Macaca mulatta: one gene and its partner. The protein of the gene in region 1 purifies or fractionates together with the protein of each later gene. This does not show direct contact. Links are inferred from orthologs where the notes say so. Each region holds a gene or a part of one and is shown on either strand. Other genes may lie near its edges.

The links. The genes of interacting proteins can lie anywhere in the genome.
Region 2: the proteins of NUP133 (region 1) and NUP85 purify together in Homo sapiens (affinity purification with mass spectrometry; 5 studies listed by BioGRID and IntAct, with this or other methods). This does not show direct contact. The link is inferred for Macaca mulatta from reciprocal best matches to the Homo sapiens genes NUP133 and NUP85.

The regions. Positions count from the first base shown.
Region 1 is NC_133406.1:19,557,983-19,562,706, forward strand, and holds part of NUP133 (nuclear pore complex protein Nup133), read left to right. Parts: intron 1-1,282; coding exon 1,283-1,430; intron 1,431-2,386; coding exon 2,387-2,544; intron 2,545-4,667; coding exon 4,668-4,724. UniProt on the Homo sapiens protein: Involved in poly(A)+ RNA transport. Involved in nephrogenesis.
Region 2 is NC_133421.1:84,893,443-84,898,783, reverse strand, and holds the start of NUP85 (nuclear pore complex protein Nup85), read right to left. Parts: upstream 3,303-5,341; 5' UTR 3,261-3,302; coding exon 3,228-3,260; intron 610-3,227; coding exon 516-609; intron 1-515. UniProt on the Homo sapiens protein: Essential component of the nuclear pore complex (NPC) that seems to be required for NPC assembly and maintenance. As part of the NPC Nup107-160 subcomplex plays a role in RNA export and in tethering NUP96/Nup98 and NUP153 to the nucleus.

The sequences.
Region 1 (4,724 bases):
CTGAACATCTATAAATTTATTTTATTTACTCTTACATGGTATCTGATTCTGTTAAATCCTTGTTTGTTTATTTTTGAAGAGGGAAAGTCTTGCTGTGTTGCTTGGACTGGAGTGCAGTGATATTCACAGGTCCGTCAATAGTGCATGGTAGCCTCCAACTCCTGGGCTCAAGCAGTCCTCTCAGGTAGCTGGGATTACAGGTGTGCACCACCGTTCCTGGCTTAAATCTTCACTTTTTTTTTTTTTTTTTTTTTAATCCTTACTCTTAACATGACTTGTTTAATTGAATCCTGTAAGAAAATCTTTTGATTTGTTCTTTTATGTCAAACAGAAATAAACTTTATTGTGTGTTCTGATTATGCAGTGTGGAAAACATGCTCAATGTTAGAAAAAAATTCAGCCAGGGCAGAAGACTATAAAGAGAATTTGAGGATTAAAAAACAATTCTAGGACCTCGCATTTAATGTTTCTATAAAATTACTTCTTTAATAACAGCTTATTTTTAGCATATTCTATTTTTTTTTCTGCCTCTGATTTTATATGTAAACAAATCAACTAAGTTTTCTTGTCATTAATATCTTGCCAGTAAGGTAAGAACCAAAATGTTTGTTTATCAGGGATCATTTATAAAAAATTGCCAGTTCTTAATACAATGAATTAGTGCTTTCATTTTCTCCCTTGAATTTGTCATAGGCTTCTAGTTATAGTCATCATCATGGAAATGTTTTCAAAATTTGTTAATTTTGGACATTAACAAATTAGGCCAGGTGTGGTGTCTCATGCCTGTAATCCCATCACTTTGGGAGGCTGAGGTGGGTGGATCACCTGAGGTCAGGGGTTCGAGACCAGCCTGGCCAACATGGTGAAACCCTGTCTCTACTAAAAATACAAAAAAATTAGCTGGGTGTGGTGGCATGCGCCTGTAATCGCAGCTACTCAGGAGGCTGAGGCAGGAGAATCGCTTGAACCTGGGAGGCGGAGGTTGCAGTGAGCCAAGATTGCACCACTGCACTCCAGCCTGGGCAACAGAGTGGGACTCTGTCTCAAATAAATAAATAAATAAATTTTTTAAAAATAAGCAAGTTAACAAAATATATGTCTAATTGATGTTTATAAACTTTGTAACATTTTGCTAATCATCTCATGGGTAGATTTTTAGAAAGAAAATAGGTGAATTATTTTATCATTTTTATGAAATGTACAAAAATGAATTTAAAAAATCATACAAACAAATATTTTTGTTTTACTTTTTGTTAAATGTAATCTTAAATTTAACTTTCAGTCTGAAGACCTGATTTTGTGTCGGTTGACGGTCCCAAACTTTTCAAACCAGACTGCCTATCTGTATAACGAAAGTGCTGTCTATGTGTGCTCCACAGGAACTGGGAAATTTTCTCTTCCCCAGGAGAAAATTGTCTTTAATGCACAAGGTATGGTAGCAGTTTTAGAAAGCATGATTGGTGAGCTCATTAGTCATTCTGAGTGCTTTTTTTCTCTTTTCCTGAGTGTCACTTCAAGCATGCTGCCCTCAAATGTTACTCTGAGACATTTCATACCACAACTACAGCAGCTGAAGTGACAACCCTACTAAGAAACCAAAAGGGTACTAGAATTTCCAAACTATTATATTTACAGGCAAAAATAGTAACATTTGTTCCAGGAGAAGATGCCAAGAAGCAAAGAACTAATGCCAAGAGAAGTAATTGCTCATTCCTAGTTAGTAAAAGTGACTTATTCTGAGTTGATGCTCTTTAACTTTTCCACACCCCTGGATAAGAGCCTCAGGTGCTGGACTCGTGCAGGGGGGCCAGTCAGGATTGAAGAGAAACCAAGCAGATACTTAGCTGAAGGGGTTGAGCAGAGGACAGAGTCCAGGTAGGCAACAGCATAGAACCCAGGTTTAACAGCATGGAACCCAGGTTTTCTAGTCCCAGCACAAGAACCTTGATGGAGGGTGGGTAGGCTGTTACTAAGGCGCAAGGTAGGCTTAGACTTTTTTATTTTTTTTTCAGTCCCCGTTGACTGATGTGGTAAGTTAAAGTCAGAATTAAGCAAGAGAACTCCACAGGATTGAAAAAGCTCTTCTAAGTTTTGCAGAATGAATAATTTTTTTTTTTTTTTGGCTTACTAGATTGCTCTCTGGCAAGGCTAGTTTTTGTTGTCTTTAAAGCTGAAAGACACAGAGCCTGCTTCTTCAAACAGCAGCCGGTTCTTAACATTTGATTCTGGGATTTAAAGGATGAGTTTGAAGTAGGAATAATACTGTAAAGGAAAAAATGTGCTTAATATATCATCAAGATGATTTTCTGCCCAGGGTGGTAGGTTTTACAAAGCATTTTGTTGTTCTTGTTAAATGTATTTGACTCTATGTTTTTCTTTCTTTTAGGAGATAGTGTTTTAGGTGCTGGTGCCTGTGGTGGTGTTCCTATCATTTTTTCTAGAAACAGTGGACTGGTGTCTATTACTTCACGGGAAAATGTGTCCATATTGGCAGAAGACCTGGAAGAGTCCTTAGCATCTTCATTTGCTGGACCAAACAATGAGGTAATGTGATTCTATAAGATTTTGAAGTTTGTATGTTATTTATTTTTTAGAGATAGGGTCTCACGCTGTCACCCAGGCTAGAGTGCAGTGGCACAATCATAGTTCACTGCAGCCTCTAACTCCTGGCCTCAAGCAATCGTCCTGCCTCAGACTTCCCAGTAGGTGCCTGGCTAATTTTGGTTTGGTTTGGTTTGGTTTTTGAGACAGAGTCTCACTCTGTTGCCCAGGCTAGAGTGCAGTGGCATAATCATAGCTTACTGCAGCCTCACCTCAACCTCCCGGGATCAAGCAGTCCTCCCCTCTTAGCCTCCCAAATAGCTGGAACTACAGACATGCACCATCTCACCTAATTTTTTATTTTTTGTAGAGACAGGATCTCCCTATGCTGCCTAACCTGGTCTCAAACTCCTGGGCTCAAGCATCCTCCTGCCTCAGCCTCCCAAAGTGCTGGGATTACTGGCATGGAGCCACCATGCCCAGCCTAATTTTTATTTTTATCAGATTATTTTATACAAATGGTCTCAACACTGAGACAGTTTCAAAGACTTAACAATGCAGACATTAGTTCTTCTTGTCTTCCTCATCCCCTCTGTCCTCTTTGCCTGAAGCAACTACGTTTAAGCCTTTTAGTGATTTATTCTGGTATTTTTCTCCATATATCTAAGTAATGTACATATATTCCTGTCTCCTGATTCATCTGTTGATTTTCTACTATAGAAAATGAGGTTTTGGGTTACCTTATACTCCTTCCTCTGCCTTTATCATTCTAACATACATTTTTTCCATTGTAATGACAATGTGAATATTGTTTATGGTTTGCTGAGCCAAATACTGATTACATTTCCTTTATTATACAACTTTGTGTGACTCTTGGAGTGTATCATGACCTCATTTTATATTTTCTCACTTTCCTTTCATATGTGACTTAATCTTTTTACACACTCCGGGAGTTCTGTAGAGTGCCCCTCAGTGTGGTTTTTCCCAAAGTCAAGTCTCCACAAACCTTCCATCTGCACAGCTGTCATCCCGGAACTTCTCTCTTCCACGGTCCTCAAATCCTTGGGAGCTGTCCCTGCACCATGCATAGGTGGCCTCATTTCCTGTCAGTGCTGCCATTTCCTGTTCCTTCTGCTTTCTGTCTTCCTTTGTTGTAGTTAGAATCACAGATATTTCCATGAAACTTGTATTTCTGTTTCTTTTTATTCTGGGATGATTTTTTTGAGAGGAATAGCCAGGTAAAAATTACCAATTTTTTTTCCTGTTGTCTTGAAACCTGAAATATCCCATCCATGAGGTTTTTATCATTCTTTTACAGAAGACTAAAAATAATTAATACTGTTTGGGGTAATTTCCATTTGAATAGTGTATGAAATATATAGACTACCTCTATAATTCAAAATTAAAATGATTGAGTCTAGTTTTAAAGGAAAGTAACAATTTTTTACTTTTTTTTCTTTTCACAAAAAGGATTAATACTTTGGTTATTTTGTAATTGTATGGTTATTGTAATACTGTTACACATTCTGAAGCAATTTTAGTGTTCCTTTTCTTTAAAATTTTTCTAAATCCTTGTTTAAATTTGTAATCAACCATTATGCTTAGGTAGTATACACGGTGGTGAGTCGTGTAAGAGCAAACCTATAAAAAGATTCTGTTAATTGTGATGAAATCTCCAAATTGTTTTACTTACAGCATAATCCCCGAATTACCTGTACCTTTTCTGTATGACTGGTTGATCATTTGGTGCTATTTATAGTGTTTCAATAAGTATATGAATGACTGGTATAGACCAAGCTTGGTCAACCCACGACCCATGGGCTGCATGTGGACCAGGATGGCTTTGAATGCAGCCCAGCACAAATTTGTAAACTTTCTTGAAACATGAATTTTTTTTTAAAACTCATCAGCTATCATTAATGTTAGTGTATTTTATGTGTGGGCCAAGACAATTCTTCCAATGTGGCCCAGGGAAGCCGAAAGATTGCATACCCCTGGTACAGACAATATGGCAAACCGCTTGTGTATATGCAGAGTTGCTGTCATAGGATGGGTACAGTTTTTAGTCCAATAATTAAGAATATTCAGATGCCTTTACCTCTAAACTATACTTTGTTATTTTGCAGAGTATGATTTTTGAGACCACTACAAAGAATGAAACTATAGCCCAGGAAGATAAAATC
Region 2 (5,341 bases), on another chromosome or scaffold:
AGCTTGACATTTTAAATATGAAGAAAATTTTTCATGAAAACTACTGTTAATTTTTTTCCAGGATTCAACATCTTCAAGATCTCAAAAATCAATGAAAATCTAAAATAGCTAACATTTCAAAAATAAAAATGCCAAAATGCAGCAGGATCACTCGAGGTCAGAAGTGTGAGACCAGCCTAGGCAACAAAACGAGACTCCCATCTCTACAAAAAAAAAAAAAAAAATTAGCTGGGTATGGGGGCACGGTGACCTGTAGTCTCAGCTACCAGGAAGACTGAGGTGGAGGATCACTTGAGCCCAGGAGGTAGAGGCTGCAGTGAGCCATGATCGCACTGTACTCCAGCCTGGGTGACACAACAAAACCCTGTTGTATCTTGAAAACAAAATAAAGAAAATTAAAATGGTACAAAACAAATTCAATTGTTTCAGTCCACAACTAGTCAAATCTGAGGTAATAAACAGAAAAACAACCAGATGTACCAAGATGGACAATTTGGAACAAAAAAAACCCCTACCTTTTTTGCTGAAGGAGGTTTCACACACCAGCATCTCCCCTGGACCCCAGTCAAAACACATTTGGTTCTTCTTGGAATTCACACCTGGAATCACCTAGTAAAATAAGACATAGAAATCTAAAATGAAGAATGTTCTTCTTACTGAAGTCGTTCTATTCTTTTTTTTTTTTTTTTTTTTTGAGACAACGACTCACTCTGTCTCCCAGCCTGGTGTACAGTGGCACAATCTCAGCTCACTCCAATCTCCGCCTCCTGGGTTCAAGGTCTTCTACTGCCTCAACCTCCTGAGTAGCTGGGACTATAGATGTGTGCAACCATACCCGGCTTTTTTTTTTTTTTCATTTTTAGTAGAAATGGAGTTTCACCATATTGCCCAGGCTGGTTACAAACTCCCGAGCTCAGGTGATCCACCCGCCTCAGCCTCCCAAAGTGCTAGGACTACAGGCGTGAGCCACCGTGCCCGCCTGGCTGAAAAACACTTTCCACCATGCCGGCCTGGCTGAAAAACACTTTAAGTGAAGAGCACAGCTGGTCCTGTAATAACATTGTATCCTTCAATAACATTTTCTTATAACACTAGTAAGAAAAATTCATTTTGTGCTGGGCACAGTGGCTCCCACCTGTAATCCCAGCACTTTGGGAGGCTGAGGTGGGCAGATCATCTGAGGTCAGGAGTTCGAACTCTTTTTTTTTTTTTTTTTTTTTTTTTGAGACGGAGTCTCGCTCTGTCGCCCAGGCTGGAGTGCAGTGGCCAGATCTCAGCTCACTGCAAGCTCCGCCTCCCGGGTTCCCGCCATTCTCCTGCCTCAGCCTCCCGAGTAGCTGGGACCACAGGCGCCGCCACCTCGCCCGGCTAATTTTTTGTGTTTTTAGTAGAGACGGGGTTTCGCCGTGTTAGCCAGGATGGTCTCGATCTCCTGACCTTGTGATCCGCCCGTCTCGGCCTCCCAAAGTGCTGGGATTACAGGCTTGAGCCACCGCGCCCGGCCAGGAGTTCGAACTCTTGTTGCCCAGGCTGGAGTGCAGTGACGCGATCTCACGATCTCCGCTCACTGCAACCTCTGCCTCCTGTGTTCAAGCGATTCTCCTGCCTCAGCTTCTTGAGTAGGTGGGATTACAGGCATGCGCCACCACGCTAGGTTAATTTTTGTATTTTTTTTAGTAGAGACGGGGTTTCGCCATGTTGGCCAGGCTGGTCTCGAACTCCTAGCCAGGTGTGGTGGCTCACGCCTGTAATCCCAACACTTTGGGAGGCTGAGGTAGGCGGATCACGAGGTCAGGAGTTCAAGACCAGCCTGACCAAGATGGTGAAACCCCATCTCTACCAAAAATATAAAAATTAGCTGGGTGTGGTGGCACGCACCTGTAATCTCAGCTACTCAGGAGGGTGAGGTAGAAGAATCGCTTGAACCTGGGAGCCAGAGGTTGCAGTGAGCTGAGATGGCGCCACTGCACTCCACCCTTGGTGACAAAGTGAGACTCCGTCTCAAAAAAAGAAAGAGGCCAGCCGCAGTGGCTCACACTTGTAATCCCAGCACTTTGGGAGGCCGAGGTGGGCAAATCACGAGGTCAGGAGATCCAGACCATCCTGGCTAACACGGTGAAATCCCGTCTCTACTAAAAATACAAAACAAAATTAGCCGGGCGTGGTGGTGGGCGCCTGTAGTCCCAACTACTGGGGGAGGCTGAGGCAGGAGAATGGTGTGAACCCAGGAGGCCGAGCTTGCAGTGAGCCCAGAGGGGCGCCACTGCACTCCAGCCTGGGCAACAGAGCGAGACTCCGTCTCAGAAAAAAAAAAAAAAAGAAATGAAACCATCCCTCTACCTACCCTGAGATGAATGCATACATAAATTTTTCCTCTACTCCCTCTTTTCACAGGTAAAATGCAGATTTACTGAGGCTAATCAGAGACTCACAAGAATGTAACCATTTGCCTCTTCACTGCCTAACCTCCCTTTTTTGCCCCTCCTGCTAGTTCCTTCCTCTTTAACTACTGATGTTCCCAAAACCATCTCTGGAAAAAGCACAAGTCTCAGATCCTCCTGGGACCTGTGTTTTTTCCCGGTTGGATCCTCAACCTTAGCTAAATAAACCTTCATCGGTTGAGACCTGCCTCAGTCAGCGGTTAACAAGAGAAAGAGGGAAAACAAAAGCATTCCAAGTAGCAGAAACGGTAGGTATGTCGCACATAAAGTCCATGAATTTTTTTTATACACATCACAGATCATCCACAGTTGACATACTCTCTTCAAAGTTCAAATGGAATTGAATGCACAGCGATAAAATATGAATAGTCTCCTGAGATAATACGTTTAATAAACCTTAGGTCACACAAGCAGAACTCAACGTGCCGCGATGCAGAGCTTAATATGGCTGGAAGAAAAACATAAATTCCTCTGCTTGGGCTGAACCCACTCTAATACCCAAGAGGAAATGCGAGGGAAGTAGAAAGGTCAGCAAGACAAAAGAAGGAAAGGGACGGACTGGGACCTTCGAGGCCTGGCTTTGTGACTGGTGGCAGAAACCCCGCGACCACTACGACCCGAGGTCGGGCACCTAGTTAACACTGCGACCTCCGGAAAGTGGCAACTGAATCAAGGGAAGGGGACGAGAGCCTCGCAGCCAGTAGGGAAGCAGACAAGCCTGAAGTAACGAAGCAGACGCAGTTCTCAACCCACAAGGACGATCAAGCCTGTTCGGGGTGCCCTTACAGTGACTGCTGGCTCGCCATCGAGCTCCTCCATAGCGCCGAACCCCAGGCTCTGGGAAGTCGCCGGGACGTCAATGCTTCCGGCTCAGGCCTCCCGCTCAGAGCTGGCTGAGAGACAGGACCCCGCCTGGGCGCCTCCTGCAGCGCCTGCAAGCCCAAACCTTCAGTGCTGCGGCGCTCTCTTCCCTCAGCCACGGCCACCCCTCTGCGGTCCTCTGCGCGCGTCCTTCCTTCCTGGCGTCGACAGCAAGTCAGGGAAAACAGCGCCGAGGACGGACTGCACTCACAGTACCGCGCTAACGGGATCAGGCGGCGCCGCGGACACCCTGGTGCCGAGCGGAGAGAAGGCCCCCGGAGAGGGCGGGCGGGGCAGGAGGAACCCTTGGCCAGAGACGGTGCGACTGCGCGTGCGTAGGCTGGGGCGGCGGCACCTGGGTGGGAACTTGTGCCGGACTGAGGTCCCAGTAAGCCTGCAAGCTTTCCCAACTCTGGGAGTCCTCGCTCCATCCTTATCTCCACCTTAGTGTCGTAGCAGCCACTTGTCCAAACCCAGTCAAATGGGCTTGTGCTGGAAAGCAGTCGCCGTCACTCCCACACTAGAACACACACAAGAGGCACGGGGAGGCCGGGCGCGGTGGCTCACGCCTGTAATCCCAGCACTTTGGAAGGCTGAGGCGGGCGGATCACAAGGTCAGGAGATCGAGACCATGGTGAAACCCCGTCTCTACTAAAAATATAAAAAATTAGCCGGGCGCAGTGGCGGGCGCCTGTAGTCCCAGCTACTCGGGAGGCTGAGGCCGGAGAATGGCGTGAACCCGGGAGGCGGAGCTTGCAGTGAGCCGAGATTGTGCCACTGCACTCCAGCCTGGGCGACAGAGCGAGACTCCGTCTCAAAAAAAAAAAAAAAAAAAAAAAAGAGGCACGGGGACAAAATCGATGCTCCTGAAGGATTAGAGGCTTGAGGTGGCTCAAGCCTCTAATCCCAGCACTTCGGCAGCCCGAGATGGGCGGATCACTGGAGGTCAGGTGTTCAAGACCAGCCTGGCCAATATGATGAAACCTCGTCACTACTAAAAATATTTTAAAAATTAGCCGGGCTTGGGCAGGGTGCGGTGCCTCACGCCTGTAATCCCCAAACTTTGGGAAGCCGAGGCGGGTGGATCACAAGTTCAGGAGTTCGAGACCAGCGTGGCCAATATGGGGAAACCCCCATCTCTACTAAACATACAAAATTTAGGCCGGGCGCGGTGGCTCACGCCTGTAATCCCAGCACTTTGGGAGGTCGAGGTGGGTGGATCACCTGAGGTTGGGAGTTCGAGATCAGCCTGACCAACAGGGAGAAACCCTATCTCCACTAAAATTACAAAATTAGCTGGGCGTGGTGGCGGACACCTGAGGCAAGAGAATCGTTTGAACCCAGGAGGCAGAGGTTGCAGTCGGCCGAGATCGTGCCACTGCACTCAAGTCTGGGTGACCAAAAAAAAAAAAAAAAAAAATTAGCCGGACTTCGTGATGGGCGCCTGTAATCCCAGCACTTTGGGAGGCCGAGATGGGCGGATCACGAGGTCAGGAGATCGAGACCATCCTGGCTAATACGGTGAAAACCCGTCTCTACTAAAAAATACAAAAAACTAGCCGGGCGAAGTGGCGGGCACCTGTAGTCCCAGCTACTCGGGAGGCTGAGGCAGGAGAATGGCGTAAACCCGAGAGGTGGAGCTTGCAGTGAGCCGAGATCCGGCCACTGCACTCCAACCTGGGCGACAGAGCGGGACTCCGTCTCAAAAAAAGAAAAAAAAAGAAAATAGCAAAATTATCCAGGTGTGGTGGCACATGCTATAGTTCCAGCTACTCGGGAGGCTGAGGTTGGGGTGATTGCTTGAGCTCCAGAGGCAGAGGTTGCAGTCAGCCGAGATCCTGGCACTCCGGTGAGAAAGTGACACCCTGTTTCAAAAAAAAAAAAGAAAGAGAGAGAAAGAAAAGAAAGAAAGGAAGGAGGGAGTGAGGGAGGGAAGGAAAGAGAAAGAGAAAGAAAGCAAAGGTGAGCTGGGTGCTGTGGCTCATACCTGTAATCCCAGCACTTTGGGAGACTGAGGTGGGAGGACTGCTTGACCCCAG